3 linked regions of the Arabidopsis thaliana genome follow. The protein of the gene in region 2 interacts with the protein of the main gene of each other region in a pairwise test. Each region holds a gene or a part of one and is shown on either strand. Other genes may lie near its edges.

Evidence for each region.
Region 1: the proteins of CUC3 (region 2) and IAA14 interact in a two-hybrid assay, tested with the Arabidopsis thaliana proteins (one study listed by BioGRID).
Region 3: the proteins of CUC3 (region 2) and AT4G25740 interact in binary tests that used the Arabidopsis thaliana proteins (3 or more experiments, as listed by UniProt).

What each region holds. Positions count from the first base shown.
Region 1 is NC_003075.7:8,344,835-8,355,863, forward strand, and holds IAA14 (indole-3-acetic acid inducible 14), read right to left. Parts: upstream 5,430-11,029; 5' UTR 5,090-5,429; coding exon 4,869-5,089; intron 4,678-4,868; coding exon 4,448-4,677; coding exon of another isoform or gene 4,347-4,447; intron 4,311-4,346; coding exon 4,175-4,310; coding exon of another isoform or gene 4,171-4,174; intron 3,863-4,170; coding exon 3,745-3,862; downstream 1-3,744. Other genes in the region: NF-YB3 (nuclear factor Y, subunit B3), read left to right, coding at 1-314. UniProt on the Arabidopsis thaliana protein: Aux/IAA proteins are short-lived transcriptional factors that function as repressors of early auxin response genes at low auxin concentrations.
Region 2 is NC_003070.9:28,667,100-28,678,367, forward strand, and holds CUC3 (NAC (No Apical Meristem) domain transcriptional regulator superfamily protein), read right to left. Parts: upstream 6,947-11,268; 5' UTR 6,737-6,946; coding exon 6,532-6,736; intron 6,400-6,531; coding exon 6,125-6,399; intron 5,455-6,124; coding exon 4,930-5,454; 3' UTR 4,707-4,929; downstream 1-4,706. Other genes in the region: ATL8 (RING/U-box superfamily protein), read left to right, coding at 1,816-2,373. UniProt on the Arabidopsis thaliana protein: Transcription activator. Involved in molecular mechanisms regulating shoot apical meristem (SAM) formation during embryogenesis and organ separation. Required for axillary meristem initiation and separation of the meristem from the main stem.
Region 3 is NC_003075.7:13,102,462-13,113,168, forward strand, and holds AT4G25740 (RNA binding Plectin/S10 domain-containing protein), read right to left. Parts: upstream 6,367-10,707; 5' UTR 6,291-6,366; coding exon 6,288-6,290; intron 6,178-6,287; coding exon 6,129-6,177; intron 5,745-6,128; coding exon 5,465-5,744; intron 5,383-5,464; coding exon 5,262-5,382; intron 5,108-5,261; coding exon 5,027-5,107; 3' UTR 4,675-5,026; downstream 1-4,674. Other genes in the region: QC (glutaminyl cyclase), read right to left, coding at 1-9; AT4G25730 (FtsJ-like methyltransferase family protein), read right to left, coding at 445-1,425, 1,507-1,624, 1,740-1,879, 2,073-2,162, 2,279-2,468, 2,840-2,901, 2,990-3,146, 3,217-3,263 and 3 more; ABCG4 (ABC-2 type transporter family protein), read right to left, coding at 8,166-9,899.

The sequences.
Region 1 (11,029 bases), on a different chromosome or scaffold from region 2:
CGGAATTCATAAGTTTCATCACCGGTGAGGCTTCTGACAAGTGTCAGAGAGAGAAGAGGAAGACAATCAACGGTGACGATCTTCTTTGGGCGATGACTACGCTAGGGTTTGAGGACTACGTGGAGCCTCTCAAGGTTTATCTGCAAAAGTATAGGGAGGTGGAAGGAGAGAAGACTACTACGGCAGGGAGACAAGGCGATAAGGAAGGTGGAGGAGGAGGCGGTGGAGCTGGAAGTGGAAGTGGAGGAGCTCCGATGTACGGTGGTGGCATGGTGACTACGATGGGACATCAATTTTCCCATCATTTTTCTTAATTGTAAAATGATAAAAGCAAATTTTCATTTTTATTAATTAATGATATATATATATATATGTTTAACTTTTAGTATAATGTTTACAGAATTTTTTTTTTAAAACTAGGTTCAACCCACTAACGTAACAAAATAAATATTAAATTTATGATTCGTAAGGTTAGGGTGTTACTTTTTTCAAAAAAAAAGAATAAAAGAAGGTTAGGGTGTTTATTCGTGAAAGATGAAAGTAACAAAAGTAAACTAGGATATCGAAGTTTATGGTTGAATTAGGAGGAAAAATCAAATGAGAGAGACATACATTTTTTTTAGAGTAAAATGTTTCCTAAAAAATTGTAGTGGGAATATAATTATAGCATCAAGCTAAAAAGAGTCATTGAAAAACTTTTTCTACTTTGATGCAGGGAACATGAGATGTAATCAAGGGCATATCTAAAACGTAACCTTTGATCTTTGATCTTTGATCTTTTTTTTTTTTTTTTTTTTTTTTGAAATTCAGGAGGTTCTGGGCCGAAGCCCGTAATTCCTCCAGGCCCGAAACCACAGCATGTAATATTAGTTTTTCTTTTAAAGTGTTGTGATGCGAAAATTTCATATTTGAGTCCAGGTTTTTAAGAGCTTGGGTTTTCCATTAGTCCATGTTATGCCACAAATATTCAAAGATTTTTTCTTACAAGCAATACTCAAATATCAAAACTAAGTTTCTATCAAAAAACTAAACAAAACATCAGCCAGGTAAAATCAGGAAAAAATAAAGAATTATCAACAAATACCATGACTACAATAACCAAACTGCTTTCCATTATTGTTTTTGTCAAGCAAATTGTATTCAACATTGAATTTCAAAACAGAGAAGATCATACGGTGTAGAATTAAAAACAAGATTGAAACGATACATTATAAATAACGACAAAGGCTTGAAAATTTATCAGATAGGAAGTTCCGACGAACCTAAATGAAAGTCTCCATGACAGACTCCATATTGAAGACTAATTTCAAAAGATTAAAGAGAAACTCATGATAATAATAGCTCGTACAGCTAGTGCTTCTTCCATCGAAGTAGAGCTTTCAAGAAATCACTCCAAAAAGGAGTTGTATAGGAAGGATCTCTCCAAAACATTCCAAAGCAATACAATAGGAGAAGCTTTTACCCTTTTTGGGTCGTGAAGGACCATGCTTTGTGCTCTGTTCTCACAACATTGAGAACTTTGTAGTAGAGCGAAGCTGGAAAAGAGTTGTGGCGTTGTGGATGCATGTGGTACTCTTATGCCAAACCTCGTAAACACACGCATGACATGCTTGAAGCAGTGCAATGGAGATGTCATTGCTTGTAGAAGTTGTTGATGACAGGCGGATGGTGCTGGAATCATTCAATAGGTAGGGTTGTAGGCAACAACTTTACCATAATTTTGTTTCAGATTTGAGCTGAAAATGAATAATTTAAGTGCAAGTGGTGAATTCCTAGATTCTCCCTCAATGCCACATTAAAGCAAGTTTGTTCAACATGACATCTCAAAAAAAATCCTATCAATAGTAGGGTTGAGGTTAAAAATAAAGAGTTATAAACTGCGAAAGCATGTTTAGGAATTCTCACCTTATGCCATACCAAAACCAACTAAAGAACTAATGGTTTAGATATTCTGATGTTATGCCAAGCATTTAGGGAGGAGAATAATTCGGAATCATTTCATCAATTATCCAAACTATCATTCATTGTAGGAGTAACTAGAATTCTTCAGTTCATTAATGGGAAATTAATAATAATTTTTAATTTATTGTGTCAAATAACTAACTTTCTGTAAAATATTAAAAAAGAAGGAAAAATGAGAGATTTTCCAAACACTTCAAAAATCACTTTTGATTTAATAAAAAATTTTCTGTCTCTTAAAATAAAAGCTCTATGTTCTCTATAAAAAAGCTTTCTCCGCCGCTGCCTAAGATTACTTGTTTCAGTGGCTTTTTTCAGCATCGGAAGCGAGGTTTCTTTACTTTCTTTCTTTAGTTTTGATTTCTTTTTGTTTTGGTATGATCTGAATCATATTTTCTTCCAATGGTTTAAGATCTAAATTCTCATATCTAGATCAATAAAGTCTAAATCCTTTCATCTACGGGATTTGCTGCTTGTTTTTTACTCCTTCATCTACAGCTTTAGTTCTGGTCGTTCCAACCATGCCAGAGGTAGATCTATTCGATTCTTCAACGCCTTAGATGCATACTTCTCACCATTGAAGATCTCGATCTCCTTCCTTTCTTTATGAGATTTTTTTCCTTTGGGTCTTCGGGTGTTGGTTTGTCTCACCGCCGTTTACGGTAAGAAGAATATTGATTTTATTTTCTTTGAATGGATCTCTAATCTCAGATCTATATTTTGTTTTAATTTGGATTTAGAATTTGTATTAGATTTTTGAGTTCTTAAGTGATAAGTTTGGGAAGTTTTGGATCAGTTTTAATATGTTTTTTTTATTCTGGAATTTTTCCTTTTTGTATATGTATTTGTCTCTAGAAAATCCGTTTTCTCGCCGGCTTAACTTCTGAACTGGTTATTTTTCTTACCCGGCATATGTATTTTACCCCTTATGATATTTTTTATAAATGAAATCTTAATTTTTACTGAAAAAAAAGAAACAGAGAGATTTTCCAAAAAGGAAAGAAAATTTTTATGCTTCTAGTGGTGAAGGGCACATTAGCATGAAGAGGATGGACTGAATTTGAAAGACCCATGAATATGCACATGCTCTTGTTCCCTACGCCTCTCATGGGTCCTGAATTTAATAACGTATTCCCACGTAACTAGGAAAGAAAAAAGAAACTTAAAACCATGAATATTTGTTTTGTAGTTTTAAAATTGGTTTTGTAATGAAGATTTTAGTTCGTTTCAAAATCTTTTTGGAAACCATTTTAGTCAAAAAATATACCAACAGTTTTCTTAGTTTTCTTAAGAAATTGTTATGTGAAATGTTTTTAGATACATCAAAAATAGTTACAAATTTCAAATATAATCTGTAAAGCCAATAAATGAGAAAATAAAGAGGAAAAGAATAATAAAGTAGGAAAAGTGGAGATAAATTATTTAACGTAAATTTACCTATCATAAATTATATATAGTATTAGCATTTTAAATTTTAAATAGCAAAAATACGAACTCTATAGATTTACTATCACAATTACATATTAAAAAATGATTTCTACTAATTAAGAGATGAAAACAAAAACACAGACTAATTTCAAAAAAAAAAAAAAAGACATATTTAAAGTTATTTTTTTCGTAAACAATTATATTTTCCTATATACTTCCAATATTTTAAATTAAAAACACATGATCATAACAATACCAAAAAAAAAAAATCAATGCATATTGTCCTCTTTTTTTTTTGTTCATGATCTGTTCTTGAACTTCTCCATTGCTCTTGGAGCTGAAAAAAAAACACGAGCATTATTGGAAAAACAGAAAAGAGCCACTTATAGAAACGAACAGAAAAGAAAACTTACCAAGTCCAATTGCTTCGGATCCTTTCATTATGCGCAAACGTTTGCATGACTCGACAAACATCCTGAAATCGGGATTTGGGTTGGTGACTAAATTTAGAAATCTATTGAAAGTGAAAGAATATGTGCCAGCTACAAATGAGGTAACATATTGATGAGTTAGTATTTATATATAAACATCTTCTCTGTCTCTGAGTTCTGTCCCATGCCAACCAAAAGATGGCTGTGCGTGTTTATAACACATGGATATTGATTATCATTTTGTGTATTTTTTTGATAAGTAATATCAATAATAATGCTTTAGAGAATATTGTTTTTTTTGTTTAGAGAATAATTTTGGTCATAATAATGAAAGCAAGAAGAATGAGGAAACTCACGGCCAGGGGACATCACCAACGAGCATCCAGTCACCATCTTTGTCCTCGTAGCTTGGAACATACTCAGAACTGTTCAACAGATCCATCACTTTACTCTCGTTCATGAAATCTATCATCCCTTGTGCTCCATAACTCCCTTAATTAATCAAAATCCCAAAACTTATCATATTAATTAGTCGTATATGGAAAAAACTGTATCGTTAAAAAGAAAAAATTGTAAGTAAACACAAAAATAATAATGATAATTCGACTTATATGTCTGAAAATGCATACCCATGGTAAAGGAGCTGAACATTTTGGCCAAGGCATCAGAGAGATCCTTGTAGCTGGTGTACATCTTGAGGTCAACCTTCCGAAGATAAGGAGCTCCATCCATGGAAACCTTCACAAAGGCGACGGTTCCTCCACCACTACTCATTGCCTCCTCTGCTTCGCCGCTCTTCTGATTAGCCATAACATTTTTCCGGTAGTTCCTCACCGGTGGCCAACCCACCACTTGTGCTCTGCATAGAATATAACAACACACACACACATTCAATAACGTTATTACTTATGCATCCTTACATCTTTCATATATATGTATTTTAAGAACTTTTATATCAACTATTAGTCTTTTTATCTCAAAAAAAAAAAAAAAAAGTCTTCCCTTTTAAGGAAGGTCTTCTTCTTAAGGAATTGTGTAAATAGAACTTACTTAGCAGGAGGCTTAGAAGGGTCTTTAAGGAAGGTCTTCTCCTTGGGAGCTCCATTAGTGTTGAGATCCACATGTCCTTGTTTGTTAGATTGAAGATTAAGTTTGAGATCAACGGTCTCGGAGAAGCCTCTCTTGTTCCCAACACCCGACTTGGCCGGACTTTCAACGGTTTCAGTGCCTCCGGGGAGGCCAAGACAAAGCTCCGTCTCCTTAAGGTTCATATCTCTTCTTGCTGTCTATATATGTCTTAAATCAGAATATGTTTTCTCTCTCTCTCGATAACTCTTGTTGGGGGTGAAGTTTGATAAGAGGGGAACAAGAATGAGGTAAGGAGATAGAGTCGATAATATAAGGGACGAAGAAAGAGACTATAGTACTATACTATAGTGGTAGAAAAAAAACGGTTTAAACCCGTGATTAGTCGTCTGACTTTTCTAATTCTTTAACTATTAAAATACAAAGGTCTATTGTGTATCTGCTGTAGTGCATGGAATCCCTACATTTTCTTGCAATGTGGGTTCTCAACACGTGGCCTTCTGCTAAACGTTGGTAGGTTGTTTTAGTAAATCTCACTCTTTCATGTCAATAACCTGAAAAGTATAGGTGATGAGTGATGACCGTTGATTGTTGAATGATATTGTTACATCTCTTAGGTTTTGAAAATACGAACATACGTTTGCCCAAAATATGTTAAGTAAATAAAAATGAAAATATATTAAGATTCCGAGTAAATAAAAATGATATTATAAAAACATGAGTACCTCTTTCAACATGTCTAAGTAATGTCTTTATTGATCACTTCTATGATTAATGTACTTTTTTAATTGCCTACCAATTTGTTAGACGTTGCCTCCATTGGTCAACTCTTCACGTATCACATCACATGTATACAGAAATTGGGCGGTAAAAATTCCGTGAATCGTATTTGGTCAACATTATTATATGATTTAATCATATAATTATATTTCTTAAAACTTTCGAAGTCAGCATCGGTGAAAATAGTTATGACCAACTAAGTTTGATCCTAATTAAGACGTACAACAAATAATCAATGATAACAATCTTAGTATATATTTTACTTCAATTTGGACCATCTTCTCTCAACATTGTCCTGAAATTCCGGGAAATGATGGGGCAATTTTAGGAAAATGGGCTTGTTCAGTTGTCCATTAAATCATTATTAAAGAGCATAATCAAATTAAAATAAGCTTGTCTTCCGAACCTTCCAATCATGTGGTTCAAGTATAACCACACATGAACGTATAATTTGTTCGACGGAAAGTGCGGCTTTGTGACTATATTTATTAGCATGCTCAATTACATTTTCTTTGTTTAGACGTATTATAATCAAATTTCTTATCATTGATTTTAGTTAATCATTGGATATCAAAAATAATAAGAATATAATGAGCCGTTCAAAACTTAAATAAGCTAAAAGTGCACATGGATTTTACTTGCGATCTCTATATAAACTATACCACCCATTGTTTTGTGGTTATGGGATAATATCCTTTGGAAATCTTTGGAAATAAAATGACTATTATTTTAGATACAATAAAATATTCCAATGATACATAATCCTTTTAATTAATAACACCATAATGAATACTTTACTTAAAAAGTTAAAATATCCAGCAAAAGTTGATATTCAAATCTGATGAAAATATTAAAAGTTACAATCTAACTGAGTATTAGTAAATCAAGATCATGTAAATTTAATATTATCGACATATACAGTCATTTATATTTATTTTTATTAGTATTCAAATAATTATTATAAAACTATTTGGTTGATAATATATCGTTAAATTTGATCATATTACAAATAAACATTTCTTTTATGTCAATAACATTACTTACTGAGTGTTAATAGCTCAATTGTTAAAGACTATAAGACAAAACCTAGAAATCACCAGTTGTAATGACATTTGGAAAGAAACCATATAAAATGCTCTAGTTTGAGAGGACGTATGTTCCTAGGCCTAAACTTTTTAGTAATAAAAATAAAATAAAAAGCAACATCACTTATGCGGAAGCCTATCATATATAAACAACATTAATTAGCACAAACCATTAGTAAAACAGATGCACTACATTCATGATGGACTATTTTAGCATTAGCTTCCGAGTTCCGAGAGCCCAACGAATAATTCTACTTGCACTACATTGGAGATTTCTGGTAAACTTGTTTCTACTTATCTACGTAATTTGCCGTTTCTACTTTCTAGGAGCATAGAAAAATTAAATAAATGTTTTGCCCAAGAAGTAGTCTAATTATTTTCAGATTGGTGGTGCACTGTCGAACAAAGACACATTGCTTGTTCCTTTTTTTGGTTTTCTTGATAGCAAGAACAATCTAATAACCCAAACAATACTAATTTTTGAAATCCTTGAAAGATCGGATTTTATTAACATTTAATGCATAGAATATGACTGAAAAACACGAACAGTAGATATTTATTGATGGGTAACTCGATCTCCGACCTATATCCACAAGAAAACACATCTTCCCTAGTCAAAGTACTATTCAATTGAATCCGGTGAAGATAGTGAGACAAGTCACATCCAATTGGGGAAGCAATAAACATACCAAACCCTCAAAGGCTATGTTTTTGCCTTGTCAACATCCCTCACTCCCCCAATAACCCATTGTTTCTATGACTCCCACCATTCAAATTCTCATTCATTTTTATCTTTTTAATTATTGTTCTCTTTTAGATTTTCAATAACGTTTCTAAACCAATATAATACATATTCATAAAATGAAAATACCTTTTCCTATCTCGCAGCATCTTTCATACTCATCATCTTATTCGTTGTCCATCTTCCCAACCACAAATTCTTCTCTGCATAAACACCTTTCATTAGATGCAACAACATATGCACTTGTCCCTCGAATTAATTTTCTCATCAAATCCTTTTGTTTTCTTCTTAACTGGTTAATTAATGCGTACGATCAATTATCTTCATGCACATATGATTAGGGTTTTGAATCTTATCTATTTCAAGTTCTACAACATGAAGCGTAAATATGGTGAACTTCTATAGTTTGTGGATACTATTGATTTTTGGTAGATGTAAAGAGTGGATATTGTTTGACTACGTGGATCTATTTTTCATTATGCATTATAGATGGTAGGCTCCCGCAGTTCCGCTTGACTTTTAGCCATAAACTCATTTACTCGTTCTAGTGGTAGTGGAGAGGCATATCGTATTTAATTGATATCGTATTATACAAATTTAAAAATGTTTACCTTATTGTTTTACCTACGGATGTCTACGTAAATGTAATCCCTACAATTTTTTTATGTGACCCACCTATGTTTTTAGTTCCAAAAAAGGTAAAGGTGTGGAATTTGGACAGTCGAAGTATAGTATATCCAAAAGTTTTGTCAACGATACTATCCAAAACTCGAATTATTTGTTTCTTTTTTCATATCATCTTTTTTTTATGGCAAATAATTCGAGTTTTGGATCTAAATGTGAGAAAAGTTTTGTGATAATTCAATCATAATTTTTACACGAGAAAAGTTTTCAAGGCACATTGTTTTATACTTATCTAAATTATGTGACCCAACGATACTACTAGACAAGACGAGACAGGTCCAAACAAAGTAGTGACTGATTGGTAGAAGGAGATTTATGAGATGGTCCGGGTTATAATGTTAAGCCATTTTCAAGAAGTTATACGTGTTGGTTCTTATGATATGTAAATCTATTGTGGTCTCTCCTGTGACCACAACAGATTGCATTTGACCACGTGATTTTCTATTTAGCAATCAATTCACGATTGGTATACACAACCCTTATATATATTCCAAACAAAATAATTAATTCTTACATCTATCAAAACTATATTTAAAACGAAAGTCAGACTAATTTCAACATTATAACCATCATGGTTAATCTAAACGAAAGTTAAGAGTAATTTCAACATTACAACCATCATATGGTTCATACTTTTTTTTTTTTTTGAACAACATATGGTTCATACTTTAAATGACCATATTGTTGACGAAGTGAAGTTGATTCTAGGTCTGGACTAACAAACAAACTGATATGTTCATAGATGGAGAACGTATACGACCCAAATTTATTTATTACTTGTAATAACATATTAATAGTGTAAGATATGTGAACACCTTGATAGTCTAGTGCTTGAGTGAATTTGATTTGAAACTTTTTATGTAATTTTTCTGGCACGTGGTATCTTTTTCTTTTAACATCTTTGGATCAACATTGTCCGATATATGGTCTATTTTTACTACGCGAGGTAACGAGATTTAGTAGAATCGAATTCTGATAGAAACGGTGGAATCAGATGGACTTAACTACTTGATTAAAGACACATCCCTCACACGTGACAAACCAAAAAAAATGTTGGACATTTGGATAGTCATGCCAATGGAATGTACTGTACTTGTTCATAGTTGTAAATAACACCAAAAATCAACTGAACTAAGGAAAGAGACTTTAAACATCTTCCCAAGAAACGAAAACTCGAACACATATTCACAAAATGTTCTGTTACCAAAATTACTTCTCATCTGAGAAAAAATAATCTAACATAAAGAATAATTAATTATGAACATACAAGAATATGACAACTGAATAAATATATGATTCCGATTTAGCTACGCATTCGTAAACTAAAATTTTGATTACGATTCTTTATACCTTAGCAGAGATCAATTATTTGTTTCAAAGGTTTTGTTTTTTAAAACAATAGCTGATTATCGACGTAACTACAACTTTTGAATTTGTTTTTATCAATATATACTCTGTCACGTTATGTAGTTGTACTCAAGCAGTTGGTTATTTGTTGTTTAGCAAATGATTCAGTTTGAATCATCTGTTACAATAATATACATAGAACATCAACAATAGTACTGTTCTTGTAAGTGAAGCAAAGTCCCGATTTAGGACCACTTTTTAAGTTTCTTGGATCTAAATGTGTGAATAGCGACATCGCATTAATGTATTACATGAAAGTTTATGGTTTTGATCTGATATTAAGATATATATTTATATGATTCAATAATTCCTTACAAAGTCAAATTTTATTTTTATATCCCAGTGGTTAAATTTATATTACTTGATGATAAGTGTAAAGTTGGAGTATAAAGGATAATAATGCAGATCAACTTATAAACAAGGTCCTACATACATGCATAGATCACAAACCATAGACATAAATAAGAGAATCTGGCACTGATAGTACGATACATAATGTTGGTGGAACCAGAGACATAGTACTAGGACCATGGTAGGAGCTGACCATAGATAGGCATCTTCCTCTGCTTAAAAATGTTTCAACGTATTATATAAATTCTTAAGATAAAGTTTCATATGTTTGACCAAAAAAAAGAAAGATAAAGTTTCATATATCTTTTTGTGACCGTGAAGAAAAAAACATAAATAAAGAAGTCATCCGAGAAGAAAAAAAATCATATAGACCTTTTTTTCACTAAGCCTAAATTTGTAAGTAGTTATAGGATTTAGTTTGACGACCGACGGAAAGCATGGGAGAAAAAGAGATGCACAAGCATCCTCTTAATTTTTGTATGAAATTAAAAGTAAAAATAAATAAATATAAATATATATATATATATATATTATATTCCCTTTTAAAATTCAGTTTTTACTATACAATTATACTGTAAAATAAATCTTGGAATTTTCCTAAAAGTGACGAATACTTGTGATTTTAATAGCTCAAAATGGTAATTTTGTACCGATGTAGAATATGATATATAATTTTGATAATTATCAATCACAAAAATGTTATTAAAAACGTTATTAAAATGTTTACTCTCAGTTTTTCGGTATAGTTTTTATGTACCACTCTTTCTTACAATTTTACATTACTTCATAAAAGTTTACCATTCCAGTTTACAACTAAAAAAATTATACAGATTTGTATTATTAGTCAGACCCAATATTGGATTATAAGATAGGAGGAGTACTTTGATAGTTTGATTAGACATAAAAATACCCTCTAAAGAAAAATATTGGACTCGTGATCAAGTTTGTAGCCTAATGCTCCTATAGTCACATTGCTTCCCATGGGTGACCGGCGATGGATGTAGTAGTGTGGATGCTTATGATTTTTTTTATAAGAACATAATCGACACAAAATATGTATTTGAAATACAGACACA
Region 2 (11,268 bases):
TCTTTAAAGTTACAGAATACCATGAGATTTTGGTTCGCGGGTTCGCAGATACAATTTCCTAGTTTTTTTAGCCAAATGATCAGATAAAATATTACACTTTCTCGGTATATAACATGACAAATAGAACATATAGTTTGAAAAATCTACAAAAAACTAATCGTCTATTTATGTGATTCATATATTTTCTTCGATCACTTAGAGGTGGTATATGTGCTGAAATCCCACGGTCATTATTACAAAACGACGATGTATCCCATGTACAGAAAAAAAGTTCATAATTTTTGTTTTGAAGGATATTGATCTTATCTTAAACATTAAAAAGTTTTCCTTAATGAATTAGTCGTTATCCCAACACCAATTGCCATGTCAGCTTGATTGACTGCAAGTCCTCGACCAGATTTTTTTTTTATAAGGATTTCAAATCAAGCATTCGTTTTTATAACCTACATGGCTACATTCTGAGCATTTTAATTTGACTCATAACCTTTTGTAAGTTATAACTATGTTTTAGTACTTTTAAGTTGCGACGAGTTCAATAGTTCACAAAACGTACGTAAATCATCTATGTCCTACACTATAAATATAAAGAATGGGTGTTATTTAGATTTTTTGTATCTTGTCCCAAGTCCTAACATAACATTTTTAAAAAAATTTAAATTGTGTATTCCAATTATATATTTTGTCCAGCAGCCACTGAGTTAAAATGTTCTTTTCGTGATTTCAAAGGTCAGTACGTAGAGTAGAGAGAATCACATTTCTCCACTAGTTCAAAACGTCATTAAGTTTCTTTGAACATGTGTATAATCATCAACTGAGGCAAACACTTAAAATATTCGAATAAATTAACAACCCAATACAGTATTTGGAATAGCTAGCTACTAATTAAAATAGTAGATTCCGCCTGATTAGTTGCTGCTGTGCATGACCAACTGACAAATAATAAAAAGTTAGGACAATTTATACGAGAAGAATGAATGTTAGGGTAAGCGATATATACACACAAAAAAAGGATAAGCGATACACGTTATCAATTTATATCGTGGTTTGGTGCATGTTCAATGGTCGCATCGCGCACACACGCTTCTTCCACTTCCATCATGTCTATGCCCCCACACGCACCATTTCATTACATCCGTCAAATTTTAATGTTTTCAGTCCACCAAAACTATTAATATCCCATCTAAACAAATTAACAAGTAGATTAGAACGTTTGATTTTGACCAGATTTTCAATCTAGTATCGATTGTCCAAAATAAAAATCAGACCATTTTCTTAATTATAACGAATGATTAATTTTCAGGTATAAAGATGTTAGGTAAACTAAAGACATCTCATAATTTGGAAAAAATGAGATAAACTATCTAACTATAGAAACACCATATATATTATTCTCTATATATATATTTATATTTATATATATATGGTGTTATTAAAACAGTCATATTCTTATCTACGCATTTATCTTATAGTAATAACCTTTCTTTCTTGCCGACCCATCCGTAAAAACTTGAGAACGTTAAGATACAAAATATCGAAGAAAAGGACTCATAGAGTTTACATGAGCTAGCTTTCGAGTTTTCAGTCATTAACTAAATGCAACCGATTTCGAACTAATAACAATTGAAATTTTACGAAAACATCCTTATAACTGAAAGTGATACAATAAACTTTATAATATAAAGCAAAAATACCCAAGACGAAGATCTCACTCACTATAAATCCCTTTCCTCTTTGCCTCCCCAAAAAACGCTCACACTCCTAATCCCTCCCATTTTTCAAACCACTCTCTCTTTCTCTTTCTCTAAGTCTTTAACAATGGCGCGCCTTCTCTTCCGTCTTCTCCAAGAAGCCAATTCTACATCTCCGGCTGAAGCTTCTCCGCCTTTCAACTCCGACCTCGTCCTCATCCTTGCGGTTCTTCTTTGTGCACTGACATGTATCATCGGCTTAATAGCCGTCTCTCGATGCGCTTGGCTCCGCCGTATCGCCTCAAGAAACAGATCGGATCAAACTCATCCACCGCCGGTAGCTGCAGCCAACAAAGGATTGAAAAAGAAAGTCCTCCGGTCGTTACCGAAACTCACCTACTCGCCGGATTCTCCGCCGGCGGAGAAACTCGTGGAGTGTGCTATCTGTTTAACGGAATTCGCCGCCGGAGACGAGCTTAGGGTGTTGCCGCAGTGTGGACATGGTTTCCACGTATCGTGTATCGACACGTGGCTTGGATCACACTCTTCTTGTCCTTCTTGCCGTCAAATCTTGGTGGTTACCAGGTGTCATAAATGTGGCGGGTTACCCGGTAGCTCAAGTTCAGGACCCGAACCCGATACCCGAATCAAACAACGTGAAGATGGTCCTGATAACTTGCCTTGATTCTTTTCTTTAGACATATCCCATTTTATTTTTTATAAAGGGAATTCGATTAAACAAAGATATAATATTAATTAAAAAGTGTTCTTTATCATTTTAAAGGATAATGTTACTCTGTCATGTATATATTTAATTATCTATTGTAAATCTATCATGGAATGGAAACTTTATGTCATTTAACCCTTTATTTGTTTTTGTCAATGTATTATGTAAACTTTATATAGCTAGAGACCAAGAAATAGTTACCAGAACTTGAAACTAAGACGTTGGACCACACCATTTATACGTAACTACAATCCTAATTATCCGGAGTAAAAATTTGCCTTAGATGGTTTTGTCAAAGAAATAAATAAAAATACATAGTATATTCTTTGACAAAAACCATCAAGGGACTCTAGTCTACCTAAAATGTTGGTTGTTCGTTGCTACAAATTCGATTTAACTAATGGAATATTCCATAATTAATGGGAAAAGTAGACAGATGGACCAGTATACGTAGAACAGATGGTGTAATGTGTTTTGTGTGAGATTTCTTTTTCCCTTTTCCATTAATAAAGCAGCAAACTAATTGTCGGGTTTTGTATATTTAATTTGTTCATGTTTTATGTTAAAAGTATTTAAATATTGGGAACACGAGACTGTATCCCACTAAATCATCAGACACGACTTTAAATTATTAGAACTTCGAAAATGACCATGAAGATGAGCTTATTTTGTCTTCGAACAATGACCTAACAAAAGATCGCCAAAATCTTAAAGAATACAACTAAAGTGCGAGATACGACAACTTGAACGTAGTTTAATAATAATTAGCCAAGATGTAGATAATCACGCATACGAAAAAATAACTGATTATGGATTATTTCTCTTTCGCCGTCTAACCATTGAGTATAACACATATGAATAGTGATGGTCCACCACCGCGAGATATCATCATTCATCACGAGTTTCTCCACTATGGAAAGTGCGTCCATGTTCTCCATTAGATTGCATAATTGACATTGAATATAGATCTACCACAAAAATATCCATCTTAATTTTCATCTAACGACTATAGTTTTGATGATATAGCTCGTAATGGTAGTAATTCACTAATGCTCCAACAAATAAATTATCGAGCTAATGCTCCAACAAAAAAAAAAAAAAAAAAAAAATTATCGAGCTAAAAGCAAGCTATAACCATTAACCCAAAGAGGTTGAATGTCCAAGCATTACTGTTCTTCAAAAAAAAAAAAAATTGAGCTATTTATGTTTATTTTAAAAGTACTATTACATATGGTTAGTTGTAAATTGTACGTGTGATGCATGAGCATGATCTATTATATATCTCTTGGCTTTTATCTCCATGGATCATGGATAGATGATAGCATTATATTGCGTGGCTCTCTTATCATATTATTATAGTAATGGATATTTATTTCTGTAGAATCACAAATAAAGAGTAGGAAGTCGAAAGTGAAGGCATGCTTTTTGTTTGTTAAAAGGAAGAACTATAAATTCTCATAGAAAAATGATGAGACCAAAATTCCCAATCTGGCCGAAGATTCCCACATTCCTGTTTTTGCATTATTAGTAAGCTACACATTAGTTATTGACAAAAAAAAAAAAAAAAAAAAGTAAGCCACACATTAGTTTTTTTTTTTCCATGAATGCTTTATTACCTAGGTAGTGGTGTTACAGTTAAATAAAAATCATCATCGGTTGACAATATCTGAAGGCAACGTAATGTTCAAATTCAAATTTGACGAGCAGAAACCAATTTCTTTTAGAACTTTCACGCTTGAATAAGACTACATATCTAATAAACTAAGTATTTTATGTTAGGGAATTTATATGTGAATGCATCATGAATTTATATTATATTTTAAAGCTGAAAATCTTGATTTATCGATCATTCATATATCAAGAATAAGACCACATAACAATTGTTACTCGTTTAGGCGTTTACCATCTATTTTCAAACTTAAATTAGTTTTCATAATTCGTTATATATTATTTTATCAGCGGGCCTCGCTGGTGTTTAATATTTAGTTAAAGTCAACTTCTGGGCCTCGCTGGTGATGGGCTTCATAGTCCGAAACTATGACCAAACTTGCTAAAGCAGGTAAACCAAACTGACAAAGACATTGTAGCCCGCTTAACCGGTCCAATTTAGCATTGTAACAGAAAATGTCATTTTTGCAGTCCCAAAATTATGAACACAATTCATACAAAAAAAAAAAATCTTCAAAACAAGAAACAAAAAAAAATGAATATGAGGGATAGTCTATCAAAAGCAAAAAAGAATAAATAAACAAGAATGACGTCAGAATAGTTGCAAATATTATTGGTATTTATGAGATCACATCGAATAGTGAAACGCCCACAAAATACAGTTCATCAAAAGTTGTAACACAATAATAGCTTTTACCTGCAAGGCTACAGCAATCAGCCACATAACTTTTAAGAAATTTGTTCGACAAAAGATTTTGGATCTTAGGAATAATAATTTATATAATTTGTATTTTACAGAAGGTGAAAATAAGAAAAGACCAAATATAAAATCCAAGGGCCAAGATTCTACAGCTGGAATCCTAAAGGACATGGAGAATCTAGTAGCATGTGAAGAGGTCCAGGAGAAGACGAAAAACCCAACAGACCATAACTCGCTTCCTGAAACAGAGGGTTCTCCAAGTAATCTCGTACGTCAATTTCGTTACCGTTCGAAGACTGCTCTGTTTTCACGCCGAGGTTAAAGTCGAAGTCGTCTTCGTCGTTGTTGTTGTTCCCTGAAGGAAAGATGATACCGTTGAGCTGAGAGACGACAGGGTTGATTAAGGCTTTGAGCTCGTCGATGTTGTGGCCTGATGATCCATGAAGGAAGTTGTTATTATTGTAGTTTTGGTGTGGATCATCGTAGAGTAGTGATGGGAAGTTGGTTAGGGTTTTGTTGGAAGGTTCTATAAGCAAAGGTAAGGCTTCATGATGATGATGATGTGTTGTTGAGAGTGAATGGTTATGAAGGTAGCTGATTTGGTTATGGATTAATCCAACATTTTTTCTGTCTCCTGTTTTATTGAACACTCTGCAAATCACCCATTCCTCCTGTGAATTTCCACCAAAAAGAAATGAAAAACCAAAACATGTTATTACACATTATATAATGCCTACACCTTAAGATCTTGTTTGAAATGTGAGCCTGACAAATTGATTTCTGATAATGATAAATGTAATTAGAAAGGTGGGATACAAAAGAAAGCAATAGTGATGGAAAACGACACAACAGTGTATCGGTGAACAGAAAACGGCAAGGTGTGTTTGGTGTTGACATCCACACCACACGTACAGGTTTATATCAAATCTATCACATCTAAACTGCTCTCTCCCCTGTCCTCCCCATACTAAGCCAAACAACATAGTGACAATACTATTGAAACAAAACACATGAAATGGGAAAAAAAAAGTTAAATATTTCGTTAAACCTTTCTTTTCAACTTGTGGATTTAAAAAGTTAACACATTAATGGAGAACAAAAACATCAAATTTCTATTACATTCGCAAAGTTAAAAAGAATTTAATGTTATAAGAAATGGACGTGTGGGAATAAAAGTAACAGGGTTTAAATTACTAGTTTCACACACTAGTAGTATAAAATTTTTGGTTTCAAAAAGTCAACTCATAAATTGACAAGAGAAAAAATACAAATTTTTTTAAAGAAAGAGATGCACGAGTGAGAGTGAGACGCACGAGTGAGAGTAAAAGAGTGTTAATTTACCTTACACGTGTGGCGGTGTGAATGGTCGTTTTCGAGGCGATACTCATGCATGACCCACTTAGTCTTGAGGCCACGTGGAGCCCTACCTTTGTAGAACACCAACGTCTTCTTCATCCCAACAAGCTGTCCTCCTCCGCCGGAGAAGACTTCCTTATCTTTGCCGGTAGCTTTCCAGTATCCAGCAGTAGTTGCTCTGTTAGTCCTCAAACCTGTCGGATATTTCCTGTCCCTTAGACTATAAAAGTACCACTCTCTCTCTCCCATCTTCGCCATTTCTTCATATAACAACAATTTCAAAACGTTACACTTTTTTCTTGTTAAAAGATTTATCAAAATATTCAACTAAAAACAAGATTCCAAAATAAAACTTATGAGGTAAAGAAGAGACAAAATGTATAATATATTACCTGGTAGCTCCCAAGGTTCACAGCGGTTGAGATCAACTTCGGAAATGTGAATGCCGGAGAGACCACCATGGAAGATTTTGGAAGCTAAGTAGAAGGTAATGAGCTCTTCGTCCGTCGGGTGAAACCGGAAGCCAGGTGGCAATCCTCTCTCGTTCCTTTCTTCTCCGGCGAGTTCGCTTAACACATCTTCCACCGCAAGCATCATCTTTTACTTAATATAACTGAAAAAGAGACTTTTTGTTACACTGAAGAGACACCAGAAGGAAGAACAAAGATAGCAATGATACAAAAGGTGATGGGAAGTATAACCTTATTGTGTGCAAGATTATATATTTATATACCAAAATGGCACATAAATCGAAGATATAATAGAGATAGAGAGAGAAAATGGAGTGTGTATGTAGAGGTATGTGTATAGATGTGTGGATTTTGAGTGTTTGAGGTTAGAGGAGCATTGATGATAAAGGCTGTGAAATTCAGGGAGCAGGGGCTTCTATTTGCCCTCACCTGGGGAGTGAGTCTCTTTCTATTTTTCCCTATGCAAATAATAATTAAAGTATATGACATTCTAAATTGTAAAACAACTTTTCCCGTTTTGTGTGTTTATCACTATACTGCTGCTTTAGCAAAATTCTTATGGTCTTGGAGTTTTGATTAGACTGGGTGATGTTAAGTTGTGATCTTTCGTTAATGACTACTCGATTGGTCAATGGATCATTTACAGTGTTGTTTTTGTACTTTAGCTAACTACAAATGTAATTTATGATAAATGGTGTTGACGTTTTGGTTTTGGGTTTTATGTCATAATTTTTATCTATTTTTCAACAAAAGCTGACATTTTTCTCTTGTTAGTTTGAACAAAACGAGAGAGAGAGCTGTTTAATAAGGATACTGTTTTGGGTGTATATTAGTTGAAAAATACCATAATGCAAACATCCATATAATGTTGAGTTTTGCATAAATACACTATTTTACAAAGAAAACCAAAACTCTAGTGCCCTTTATCATCTCTTTAAGATCATTCTTCCCACGCACCAAATAATGTGTTTTCAAGGAAAGTATCAATATTACATTTGATCCAGACTAGTTGAACTGATATCATTAAAGTTTGAGAGGAAATATATATGCAATGCAACCGTTATACTAAAGACACTGATAAGAAGGTAATCTCATACTCCAAGTCGATCGATTTCTCAACCAAAACAATTGCAGTCGCAGTTAAAAGTTTTCAGATTTCAAGAAATGTGAAACAAATAATGTAATCTAAAATTGCTACATTTTGTGGTTATCAGCAAATAAAATTGACTTTAAAGAAGAGAAAAGGAAAAGAGTGTGCAGTAAAAAGATGGCAGAGGTTTATGCGTGCGGGTGTAAGCATATCATTATACATTCATGAGTCAGACCTTTTTTTCTTTTATTTTATACACATTCTCCCCTCAGATATATACCAATTCCTTTCGATCGTTTCCTTATTTTTCCTTTAACCACTTTCTCCAACGGTTAACTCAATTCTGTGTATTACACTTTGTTTCTTTTGTTGGTTCGGTTGATTCTATACTCTTCCTCATAATAAAAAATGGAATATAAGGTTGTTTGTGTTTCGGTTTTGACACATATTTTTACTATCATTTTTTCAAAAAAAAAAAAAACGAAGCAAACATGTTCGGTTTATAGTAAACCAACAATACATAAAGCATGAGTTTCGTCAAGTGTCTCAACACAACTATTTAAAAAATTATTGTGAGAAAAATAATTGGAAACAAAAACTTTTAATTCATATTGTCGATATTAAATGTTTGACAAAAATGTAAGATAAAAATTAAAATGAAACAGTAGAAAGATAGCAGGTGTCGGCGGTGGCACGTGTGTGTAGAATGATACAAAAGAATCAGGTAAAAAGATAATAAATGCAAACGTACTACACTATCTATCTATCTCACTAAATATTAACTGCCCACACGATCTTATGTTAAATCTCCCAAGTCATTCTTTTACCCTAACCCCTACACAACCCTATAATATTCATTTTTAAATATATATATATATATAAGTATTACACAAATAGATTTATAAAAATTAAAATCTAATATTTGAAACAAATGTTTCATCCAATAATTCAAAACCTGCTGTACTTGCATAGGCTTACCTAAGCCTATCCATTATTAAATGCTTATTATATATAGTTTCTGTACTATTTACAATCTAAATTATTTTTCGTCAGGGGATCTATAATCTTTATAGCTCTGATAATATTTCTGTGACTCTCTTTTTTTATCCTTTTCAAAATTGTTATTTTTTTCTATTTCAGTTTAATTATTGCCCAAGTGATACCATCGGTCTGCTATATATATTATAGTGCTGTTCACCTGCGTCACAAAACAATATTATTGGCCCCTGTCAAAGTATATTTTTTTTCATCCTTTAAAACTAATCTGTCTGCGATAATAATATCATTAAACTTGGCAGAATATGTGTATCTGGTATAATAATTTGGAAATCTTTTGTACTCGTACGTCATTTCAGTAACATGCACTATTTCAGTTATTTATTGATATAGTAAAAATTAAAGTTAATCCAGTTAAGGAGCAGAAACGGTACTGGTCTGTGTAAACAGAACTAGTGTATAAAATAATAGTCCAATTTGTTTCAGAATTACAGGGCTAGTAATATACAGTATAATGTGACACTTAAACTTTAAGAGATTAGGTGAAACAAAAATCACTAAAATGAATATAGATGACTGTTTGTCACATTTCTTTTATAGTATATACCTGTATATGTCAATCAAATGACAAAGAGGGTCCCCTATTCTCTTGCTCGTCTTTGTCTGTTTGTATTTAAAATGTCTGTATCAAAGTCCATTTTAAAAAGCTTTTACAATATTTTATTTTAGAAAAATGACAACAAAAATAAAGTTTACCTGTAGAGAAAATACCAAAAACAATGAGTAATATCAATTATAAATGTTAAAGTTAAACTGCAAAAATATATATTACACATCGAAATAGATATTTTAGTTTAAAAAATTTCAGAACACAAGTGGATTGACCCACCAATTTTTACTGTTTTTTTTTTTTGGAATTCGACTAGATACAAACTCTAATTAAGTCACCCTCCATCACTAACTTATAAGAAAAATTGCAATAAAAAAAAAAAAGGAAAGAAGAAGAGGAAGAAGAAGGAGAAGGTGGAGAAACAATAAATGAAGGACGAAGAGGAAAGGACAATGGCAGCACCGACCTGCTCCACCAGAGAACGACCTCTCACTCATTTCCCTTCACAAGCTATCTTTTCTTCCTCCAAATTTTGCTTCTTTAATTTCTACCACTTTTTTTTTTTTTTTCCAAATCATTAAATGATCAAAATGTGAAGCTTGACTTAATACTATAAATTAATCCCTATATTTTCCGTATCATTATATGATTGATAGATCTTACAAAATGTAATAATCATTTCATCATTCGTTTTGGGGTAGCAATCATAGCCTATATACAATAATGTTAAGCGAGTAGTCTGCTTCGTAGAGTATAAATTTTGTAATGTTAAGTGATGTAAGTATATTTATGAATTATCTTTTGGCTAATGAATAAGTTTGGTCCAGCTTATAGTGATAATATGATGCGAGTATGAGGTTATGGAGATTAGTGTTATTACATTTATAAGACGTCCGTACAGTGGATGGCAATAAATGTGAAAGGTTTTGAGGATACTGGGACAGACGAAGCCTTCATAAATATGGGCGAAAAGTTGCATATTTGGGGCCGGGGGACCAATAAAACCGTGCACATATATCATATAGTATTATTGAGTTTCTGGATAAAGCTTTTTCAAACTTATGCTTGTATAGTTTGTATTGTATCTCTAATTAGTAATTGGCACGACTATGCATATTCATGTCACAAAGATCCAAAAGGTGAAATATCTAATTGATGATCATGGTTGTGTTTTCAGATTTTCCCCAAAGTTCTTAACAATACTTTATTTTCCTAAATATCTAGAATTTTATGTGAAATTTTCCTACTGTTAGTAACTTTTTTCGTCGCTATAAAATTCGTATAATAATAAAAAAACTCATAAAGATGCGACTAAAGAATAAAGTTGGTTGTTAAAAGACGGTATATAAATTCTATATAGAAAATAACATTAGACAAAAAAACCTTTCTATTAGCTAGATCTTAAGAATCTCAAATCAGTTTCTTCTATAATGAAGTTATATAGTAAAAAAAAAGGTACTACTAATTCATAATGAGTTATATAAAGGTGGTATTAAGGACGATATGGTAGGTTAATCCATAAATGTAACTCGAATGTGAGCATGTAGAGAGAGACAGACGTATCCGGCGACGGCGTAGGTTAGAGGGAGGGAAAAGGAGTCTTTCCACATTTGTTTTATTTTGATGCTCTGTTTTCTATTTTAGTTACATTCCTTTCTTTGTTACTAAATTATATTCCTGTTAGGGAAACTATTAAATTAACGTAAGAAGACTTAATTTTATTACTCGTGTGTTGAACTACAAAAGCTTTATTACTCTGTTCGTGTATCCAGTGCCGGTCCAACATTTTTGAGGGCCCTATTCGAGATTAATTTTTTTTCTTCTTTTAAATTACTACTTAAAATCTCACATAAGTGTTTTTTCCTTTAAACGACCCATAGTTCAAAAATACAAGAAACATAAAACATCAAAAGCAAACAAAAAATAAACCAAGAAATATAGAAAACGTTACATAAATCATAAA
Region 3 (10,707 bases), on a different chromosome or scaffold from region 2:
AGTCGCCATTAAACTTCATTCGCAGTCGTTGGATTGGAAATTGCAGTCTGTCAAATTTGATTTGTAGCTCTGACCAGACTTTGGCAACGTAATTTTGAGAAATGCGTTAAAGTGTGTTGTTGACTCATTTGTGTTTTTGCTTTTTATGGAAAAATTGAATTCTTTTTTAGAAAACTTTTTTTAAATCGATCGTTCAATATTGGAAGCTTATTAAACTACTGTTCTCAATCCAGATGTGAATATTAGGAACTTCCATGGTACAAGAACATTGTCGATTACGGTAAATTTGATAAACAAGATAGATAGATCCACTAAGTTTTAACTTAGGACACCACGAACACAGATTATCAGAGTAAACAAGTAAATCCAGAAGTCAAGAATTGCCAAAACTTAAATTAAAATACGTAACAAAACTTCCTGTTCGCCTCATTCGACATTGAGGTCTTACCCGGGTTTCCTTCCCCGAGGTTTCCCAGCAGGCCTTTTTCCTTTCTGGCCTGCTTTACCAGTGCCCTTCTGCCCGTTCCTACCGGGCTTTCCTCCCCCACGTTTCCTATCATCACTCTTCATCCTCCTATCCACTCTCTTCTGTCCCTTACCAACTTTAACCCCAACTCCTTTCTTAGACACAACCAGTTCTTTCCTTGGCTTTCTTGGCTCTGCTGCTTTCTTGTATAGCTTGTCTATCATCTTGTCCTTTGAACGGTCTGATATATCTGCTGTGTCAGATATTGTGTTTGCCTTCTTCCTCACTTTCTCCAATCTTTTCTGGGCAGCTCGCTTCTTCCGTGCCTTGGCCTCTGCCACCTTCTTGGCTGGACGAGCATTGATCTCTTTGAACTGTGCTTTCATTGCATTAACTTCATCTTTCGTAACAGGTTTCATTGGTTGTCTGTGCTGCTTCTCGTCATCCACAAACCATTTTGGTAAACCTTCATCTACAAACATGTGTTTGTTATATGCATCATCAAGCATCTGTTCTCTCTGCTTCTTCCTCAGCATTTTTTTGGCACATGCCAGTATCTCGGCCTTGGTATGAACATCATCTTCAGAGGATGAATCTGAGTCAGAATCTGTGGCTGGTGCAGGGACTACCTCAAACTCATCTTCCTTCTTGGAGCTATTGGGCAAGCTCTGATCAGACAACACACTTGCTTTTGAAGCCTTCTGCTTTGACTTGTCTGGTTTAGACAGATTTTTGCTCTTTTTCTTATTTGCTATTTCGTCTTCACTGTCATCTTTTCCCAAGTCTCCTTCTTCCACGGCTTCTGCAAATATATTCTGACTGAACCACTGGTTGGATATTTCCTCCTTTGTTTGGACCACTCCATCATCAAGTGGTACAACAAGAGGGTTTGCCTCATCCTTTTCTTCATTCATATCTGAATCGTAATCGATCTTCATTTCTTCATCTCCATCACCTTCCTGCAAAGCCAAAAAGAAAAAAGTGTTTAGTTCCAAAAATCTGTTCTATCCTAAGAAATTGGGGTAAGAAAATGATAGTACCTCCAGCTTTTCAGCATGGGCCTGCCTAGCCCGCTTCCTTTGCTTTGCGCTTCCTTCTTTCTTCACCATATACCGCTCATATGCCTGCTCAAAAATCTCTTCCATTTGTTCAGTGTATCTGTAATGTTAAAAAGACTATTAAGATGAAGTAACTCCACAAACTTCAGAAATATACGACGTTCTTGTAACAGCACTCTATAATCTACAAAAAGGTATAGGTTTAGCGGTCGTACTTCTGACGTTCTTCATCAGAATCTCTGTCACTGTCTTTGGAGTCATCTGAAGCTCCTTCGCCATGGTCTTCGTTCTCACTGTCAACGGCATTGCCATTATCATCTTCATCATTGTCAACTGCCATTAGATCTTTCTTTCCCTGTAAAGAAAATAAATGAAAATCTTTACAATCTCATTCAGAATATAATGATATGTTCAAACAATTGAATTGTAAGAACTGATAGCAGGGTGAAAGGAGAATGCTCTTCAACCAATGAAAGAGTAATAAACACTTCTTCGAATGCCATCATAATAAACAAAATTCCGCAGAGATGGTATCAAAAATGAAGTACCTTGATAGCATTAAGAGAGAACAATTCATTGTCGACGAAACCATCTTCAAGTACATCCATCTGTGGACCAGTCGCCTTCCGCGCCTTGTCCTGGCAAAAGATATTGAATTTAGTGAAGGAAGTATAAAGTCTAAGGGATCCATCACTAAGGCCACTGACTAAGACATAAAGACTTGATAGGTTATTATCATAAGGTTAAAAATAACCTTAGCCCTTCGTTTTGCAAGAATCTTCTTTGCCTGTTTCTTCTTGCGGTCAACTGTGTTTGTCAGCTCTTCCAATTCATTGAGTAGTTTATCATCTTCATTTTCCTCATCTTCCTTTCCCACATCAGGCTCAGGTTTAGCAACTTCCTTTTTCTCAGGAGTCAGAGCTTTCCTGATTTGCATTCGCCATCTACAAAATAGAGAGTTCAATGACCATTAAGCAACTAATATAATTTCTAGACGCATAGATGGATGACGACAAATGCTAAAGTCTTAACAAAACCAGTAGTTTCCCACACGCCAATTCCTAACACCCATGGACACCCGTTTACCCATTTCACACAGTGCTTTATCGGGTTGAGCACTCAAAACAGCATAGGTAAAAACTTGAAGTGCTAAGGAAACCGTTCTTTACCGAACCAATTTACAGCTAACTAATTCTACAATAGCTGAATTCATTTTAGTCAAAGCTCTACCACATCCTTGGAAAAGCTTAGAAATTAACAAGTGAGACATAAAGATTAAAAAGATCCATGAAGGAGTCAATAATACTGTTCTTACTTTAGGATATGCTTGAAGTCATTCTTCCCCAAGACAGGAAGATCATCGCATAGAATTTTAATCTACCAACAGAAAAATAAAACGTTACCATGGCGTAGAGAAGGACATAAATACTTGATTAGCAAAGGTATGGAAAATTAGAAACAGTACCTCCTCTGTCGTCAAATCATGTTCCTTTAAAGGTAGAGAGGCTTGATCATCAAATGATATGGAAGTAGTCGTGCCAAGAACGTCAAGAGGATTTTCAGACCAAATGAAATCAGCAGCAGATGCAACTCTTCTCAAAATGGACTCCCCATCTTCATACCTGTAAATTACACTCGGTTATAAAAAGTTCATCTATAACGAAGAAAAAACAGATGGCGGATTTTGCCTACCCATCACGGTTTCTCTTTTGTTTTGATCCTCCAAGCACATCCACCACCTGCAAACACAAGTAGTATTACACACAAAACTTTAGGGACAATGGGAGAGTTGTAAAAACAACTCCAAACACCAAATAAGCCATAGTGATTACCTTTCTCGTGGGTTCTGCTGACTCCTTAAAGAGATGTCTATAATCAAGAAGACGGGGATCAATCTTGGCAGGGGCTAAGTATTTCAAACCCACAAGATATGTTTCTGCAGATGCTGAACGACTAGCCGGCGGCTTAAACACTTCAACTTTTTCAAACAGCTGAACCAATAAAAATGCCAATAAGAAAAAAGGCTCGGGAACACACATCTAAATGAAAAAGAAAAAAGAAAAAATCAGAGTTATAAACAAACAGTACCCTCCCAAGACAGTAGAGCACAGAGTTGTAGTCTCGAGACCTGAAAACCTAAGAGCAGAAACACACATAAACCAAAATTTCAGAAAAGTCACATCACTGATGGCACAAGATCAAAGACAGAACAAATTCAAAATAAAACAATCGGAAAGTAAGTTTATTTCAGAAGCAGACCTTGGTGACTAAATTCCCGTTGCGAGCTAAGAACTCAGTGGCTAATCTAACAGAATCAATAACCAAAGCGTTCTGGCTCATAGCCTCTTGTGCCCACGCACCACCAACATTTGGAGACCCATCGTGCAGAACCAAATTAAAAGCACTAACACCATGCTGCTCCATCACTTGCTTGATCTTCGATTTACACTCAGTCCTTGTGATATCTTGCGTCATAGTAACACAGCCACGAACAGGGAGAATCGGGACAAGATCGATACCGAGAACGAGGCTGCCGACGGGAACTTTCTCGACGGCGACTTGCATCCAACCACCAGGGGCGGCGCAGAGATCGAGAACGGCATGAGCTGAGTGGAGAAGAGAGTACTTGGCGTCGAGCTGAAGAAGCTTGTAGGAAGCTCGAGAACGGAATCCACGTTCCTTAGCGAGACGATAGTACTTATCCAAACGATGCTTTCCTTTGACCTTACCCATGGCGATATTTTGCTAGGGTTTCGTTCTGGTTCTCAGCACACGGAGGCAGAGAAATAGCAATTGGGGAGGAAGAAGCTACTCAGCTAGGGTTTAGGGTTTATTCCGCCTTAGTGTAAACCCTTCGTCTCACAGAGAGGATTTCAAATTTCTATTTTGGACAGGCCCTTTAACCTCTTTCTGATGGGCTTCTTAAACGGCCCTTTAATATGTTTAGAAAGAAGCTCAACTTTTTTGTCAACAATCTAAGAAACAAGATGTTGTATTGGAAGCAACACAGACGAAATTGAGGTATCAAGTGGATTGTTCTTGGAACACTAACATCTAGACGAAGTTGGATTTATTGTTCAACGTTAAAGAAAGAGTTGCGCTATGTCCGATAAAAAATTTCTTGTAAGGATATTGTTCAAAGATTAGACTAGAAAGAAATTGGATCAAATTCCAATTTAGCATTGAATCCCTTTTGTCTTTTGTAGAAGTTAAGACGAATTCTCTAATACACATTTCCACTTCAATATTTTACCACACTAGATTACTAAAGAAGACAGATTTGGTCTCCCTCTTCTTGTTCTTAAAAAGGCAAACCTAATTCCATGACAGATAGAGTAAGAAACATGAATTTTGACACTAATCCTGAAACTACAGGATTTGTTCGTTTAAACCAAGGTGAAGGTAATAGATAGATTATAGATTCCAGATTTGCATTACACAAACAGAACTAGAACAAAAAACAAAACTGTCCTTCCATCGTCGCAATATGACAACAAATTTTTCAAGGGAACCCTGAACCAGATGGTGCTGCTGCACTGTAACCGCCTGCACCACGGCCAAAACCAGGCCTACCACCACCTCCCTGCCAACATACAACACGCTGTTAGACAATCTCTTCATCAACTAGCTAAAAGACTTTAAACGAAGCATATTGGCACAGTTAACTAGGAGTGATTAGTAAGTGGAAGGCATATAGGCTCAGTAAACTAGGAGTGATTAGTAAGTCGAAGATTTACTTGGAAAGACGGCTGGAAATCAGCTGGAGCTCCACCCTTCTCATCACCACCACGTGGGCCTCCACGGTATCCATCACGGTCACCAAATCTGGGACGGTCTCCATCAGAGCGAGGTGGTCCTCTGAAAACAAAAGCCAAAACAATATCAGAAATTAGCCAATCCCTCAGACCGGACAGGTCAAGGGATTTAAAGATGAAACTACCTTTGGCGATCACCAGGTGGGCCACCAAAGGGACGACCACCGGGCTTAGCAGACTTCTTCAAAGTAGCAGGGACAACATCGGAAGGAAGGTTAAGATAAGTTCTCAAGAACTCAATTCCTTCATTAGTCAGAAACCAATAATAATGCATCCACGCAAATGTCTCCCTAACGTACTCCTTGGACTTGAAACTCTGCATGAGCTTAATCACTTGCAGGTTTGGTACATCAATCAACGGATGCTTTGGGAGATTGAAATCCTTCTTAGCAAAGCATACTCCCTCTACGAAACCCAGTAAGATATGATCATTTAGTATCCACACAAATTCTTTCTCTAGACAACTGAGTACAGTACTAGATAATAAATCCCTCAACAGTTATATACCAATCTATCATACTCTTCAAGAATTATAACTTATGAACAAACATTGTTAGATCCAGCATTCCAATTACTCTGAACCTTACAATACTACTTTATAAACAAGTTCATATCTAAAATCGTAGGCCTAAAAGGAGCTGAAAGCAAGCATAAATCTTTTCACATTTCAATGCAATTGTTTCTCACTACAAGCTTAGATTCGAAGATCCCTAGAGAAATGTAACTAGCTTAAACCTGGTTCCACTAGCTGAAAATAGAAGGAAATGAAAGAGAGCATGACTCACAAACCTTTGAAAAGGTATTTGCAGATCTCTCTGCGATTGTTCTCTGAGATAATCTGATAAAAGGACGAACAAGATCACAATTAATACTCGGATAATTCCTTCCATTACATTCAGTAAATATGTAAATTTAGAGAAACAGAGTAGAAGCAGAGTATGTGTATACCATCGTCTTGTTGGTTGAGCTTTCGCTGCAAAGAGGCACTGAGCTTGAGCAAAGGGGAGCAATAGGGTTTTCTGCGGATAAAAGACGATTAGATTATATATTACGGATTTGGGCTTTTATTGGGCTGATAATCTAATAATTATTTGCTACAAAGCTGGCCTTTACATGGTCCGGTTAGATGGTTAACCGGTTCCATATTAGATTTCGGAGTCCCATAGTGAATTTTCTTCTGTTAACGGGAGAATCATAGGCTGACCTAGAAAAAAAATTCACATAATAATGACCAACAATGAATTAAATCATAGTAGGATGATTCAAATTCTTGTTCTTGGACTAACAGATTAATTTGCAACCACTAAAACACCATAGTTGGAAATTATGAATTTGAGAATTGAGATTTTATTTAAAATCTTGTAGTTTGGTAAGTGAATCATTCAATTACAGTCACATTCTAGGATTTGTGTATCTATATGATCTTCACTCATTAAGGTTTCGGCGCTAGATTTCATGCTAGGCTTAAATTTTTACTCAATCCAATCTTACTCCTTCACTCGCCACCTAGTGAAGTCAACGGACAAGTTTGTCATAAAATAATGTAGACGTCAATGTTTTTTGGAGACACAAGTATTTGGTCCCAACAACTCATGTTGCTTTCTCCAGCCGTACATCACGGTCAGAACCAATTTTGTAGTGGGCGAACAAAGCTGCTTGCATATTGATTCAGTGACTCAAGCTGAGGAACACAATCTTAAAGACATGCTGATGGAGTATGTTAAGTAGATTAGGTGGTAATGTAAACCTTGCTTCTCAAGAAACGTATTCCTTGTTTCTCAAGTTTGAAACCGGATACCAATGACGGACGTCCCAACACATATATCCTATTCAAGTTCCCAAACTCCAAGATTAAAACGTGATATACATATGAATTTTAAATTTTTGAGTAAACCTTTGAAGTTAGTAATAAAAAATGAATTTGGATTATAACTGAGTCAGGAAGCCAGCTTGGTCGAGACAAAAATTACTTGCTAAACAAAAATGTTCACGGGCGACCAATGAAGTTGCATGTCCGTGAACCCATGAATACAAAAGAGATGTGGCATTTTGTATGTCAACTTGAGCACAACTATTTATTGATTTCTACTTTATTGTTTGTCAACATCGTGAATGCCTACTTCTTAACCAAAACAATTTTTTTTTACATTGTTATTGACCAAAAAAAAAAAGTAGCTCGCTGTTTGTTTTTGGATAAGCAGACGTATAAATTGATGTACCCAAAGTAAAGTCTAGGATCTGCAACAATAATAGATGAAATCATGAATATTAACATCGCTTTAAGACACGGCCACTAACATAAATGATAAAACAATCAAGATCATGAATCCAAATCACAACTGAACTTTTAAATAAACCTTTAATTTTATATTTGTACATACATTTAGAACAATAATGTATAAACTGATATGGTTTTCCAGAGGAGGTGAAGACCATGTAGACCCGTGACGATCTCTTTTTTTTGGCCAAGTTAGAAGATACACGAACATGGCTCAAATATCTCTTAATCCAGTAGATTCTCTATATTCCCTGCACACGTAACCCAATCATAGAAGGCTAGATAGTACATCAAATAGTTCTCTTGGTTTTCTAGTGACATTATGAATGTATGTGAAGCTCATGGATATACACACTAAATACATGATAGAACAATGTATAAAACGAAAAAAATAAAGGAATTTATACTTTCATTAACTCATCCATCAATAAATTGCTTCTTTGTGTTCATCCATCAATTAATTTGCTTCTTTGTGTATATACCACGAAGTCTACAGAAACAAGAAAATCCCTTATATATAAAATTAAGCTTAAGAAATTGAAAAGCATTTATCTTTTGGAACCCGAAACCCTTTTAAGCAAAACAAGAAAACACAAAACACGATATAGTACGAAGAACCCTAACAACATATAAACATTAAACCACCTCTGTCTCTCATGAAGCCCATTCTTGTCTAACACGTCACCTCCAGTAACTAAGCAGCTATTCACAGAAGCTTCCTCAAACCAGACCAGGCACTTGTTGTGCAGACACGAGTACTCATTTATCAGAAGTGCGTCCAACGCATACTTGTACATTGAGAAGAAGTACATGAAGAGCCAGTACTTGGGAAGACTCTCTTTAGAGATGAAGTAACCAGAGAACAAGAAGAAAGCCGCAAGAAGAATGGTCACTGAAGATGTTCCAGCAATGTAGTTAGGTGCGAGAGAGCTCAAGAAAAGTACAAAAGAGTTAGCCATTAGGACAATGATCCAGATTACGAGCACAAAGTAGGCGAGAGCTTGCCATGAAAAGCAGAGTCCTACAAGGAAATAGAGTGAGACAGAGTAGATGATTGCGATGAGTAGCAAGTATGGCAAGAAAACCAAAGTGTTTGCAAGAATGTGAGAGGAGAGTCTGTAGAGTCCGCTTGAGGTTTCTCGGAGAAGAATAGGTCGTTCATCAATGAATATTGGAAGGGTTTGGGTAGTGGAGGAGAGGAGGAATGTGAGGGTGAATGCGAAAAGGCCAAATCGTTTCCTGATTCCTTCTTTGCCAGTTCCGATATTAAGGTAGATAGTGCCTAAGACAAGACCGACTACAAGAGATTCTAAGATGTTTGTTAGAAGCAACTGCCTTGTACGGTATATGATCTTCCAAAACCTGCTAGAGAGAAGGCTTATTTCGGTGATTCTCGAGCTTTTATATCGAACAATGCTCTGTTTTTGGTTCTGTTTTTTACTTTCAGGGCAGTGGTCTGGAAGAGCAATGTTGGCGTTTTCGTAGGGATCACGGATGTTCTGAAGTATCTCCATAGCGTACTCAAGAGAATTCAGCTGAGAAGGAACCGTGAATCCCTTGGAGAGCAAGAATGCTTCAAGTAAGTCAAGCCTTCCATGATATACAATGGTTCCTTTAGAAAGGAGTAACACGCGATCGATGAGAGACAGGATCTTGAAGCTAGGTTGGTGTATGGACAAGATCACGATCCTTTCTCTGGACGTCGCAATAGATTTGAGAATTTGAACGACATCGAAAGCGGATTTACTGTCTAAACCCGAGGTGGGTTCGTCGAGGAGTAGTACTTCCGGATCATGAAGAAGACTTAGACCAATTGAAACCCTCCTGCGTTCACCACCGGACAAGCCTTGACCTAGTCTTGTATGTGCAAGATGTGTTAGGTTTAGTTCTTTGAGGAGAGAAGCAACGACACTGGAGACTTTTGATAGGTTTTTTGGGAGCAAGAGAGAGGCGGAGAAAGTGAAGGTCTCGGAGACGGTGAGGAGAGGGAAGAAGGTGTCGTGTTGAGGAACGTAGGAGGAGATTTTACGGTAAGAAGAAGGGTTAATAAGGACGGAGTTTAGAAGTATTGAGCCTGAGGTCGGGGAGGTTCTTGCGGCAAGGATATCAAGGAGAGTTGATTTTCCGGCGCCGCTAGGGCCAATAATGGCGAGGATTTGGGAAGGATGAGAGGTGAGAGTGATGTTGCGGAGGATGAAGGAAGGTTGCTCCGCCGTGAGGAGGAGCGGTGAAAGAGGTTTGGCGTAGGAGATGGAAGAGGTGGATAAAGTGTACGACTCCATTTTGAGAGAAATGTTTAAAGGTTGGAGAAGGGAAGTGAGTGTTGTAAAGAGAATTTATTGATGCTTGAGTTTGGAATGTTTTGTATTTTCCAATGAAATTGACAATTTTTCAGTCTTTTTTTCTTTCTTATTTGTTTTTTGACCTTTTGGTTAATTATTTTGTCTTTTCTGTCATTTTGAATTTTGCGTTACATAGAACTCATCGAATATAATTGTGGTCAAACGGTGATGTAACCAGGATGCGACAGTAAGACAAGAGAGAGTCAGATATTGAAGAGATCATTAGAGATTCAAGTCCAAATTAAGATGGAGTTATTAGTGAGAAGGTGGATCCAGAAGAAACGAAAATTCTTAGATATATTCTCATAAAGAAAGCTTGCTAACAGTTACGTATACACACATTTATTGAAAACATGTAAAGATGGATCAAATGAATATGCATGTGTGTCATAGTGAATATATATTGTTGAGAAACTGAGAAGAAGAAAGCCAAAGGGGAATGCAGATAAAGGTCACGGGCCTGCTGACAATTATTACACAGAAAATTGCAAATCACGTACAAGTCTATTTCCCAATCTCTGCATCTTCCTTTGTTTGTTTGGCACACAATTTGCCAAACCATTTTTACAATTACATATTAATGACGTGACCAGTCCTGGATTTGAAGGAGTTTCTATAAAAACAATCTGGCTTAAACGTTAGTTAGTTATAGTTACTTGTGGTTGCTTTTACTTTAGGTATATCACCGTACATGCAAATGAATAAACTTTAGGAGTTAATAGGTGAAATAATTGTAAATGGTACAATT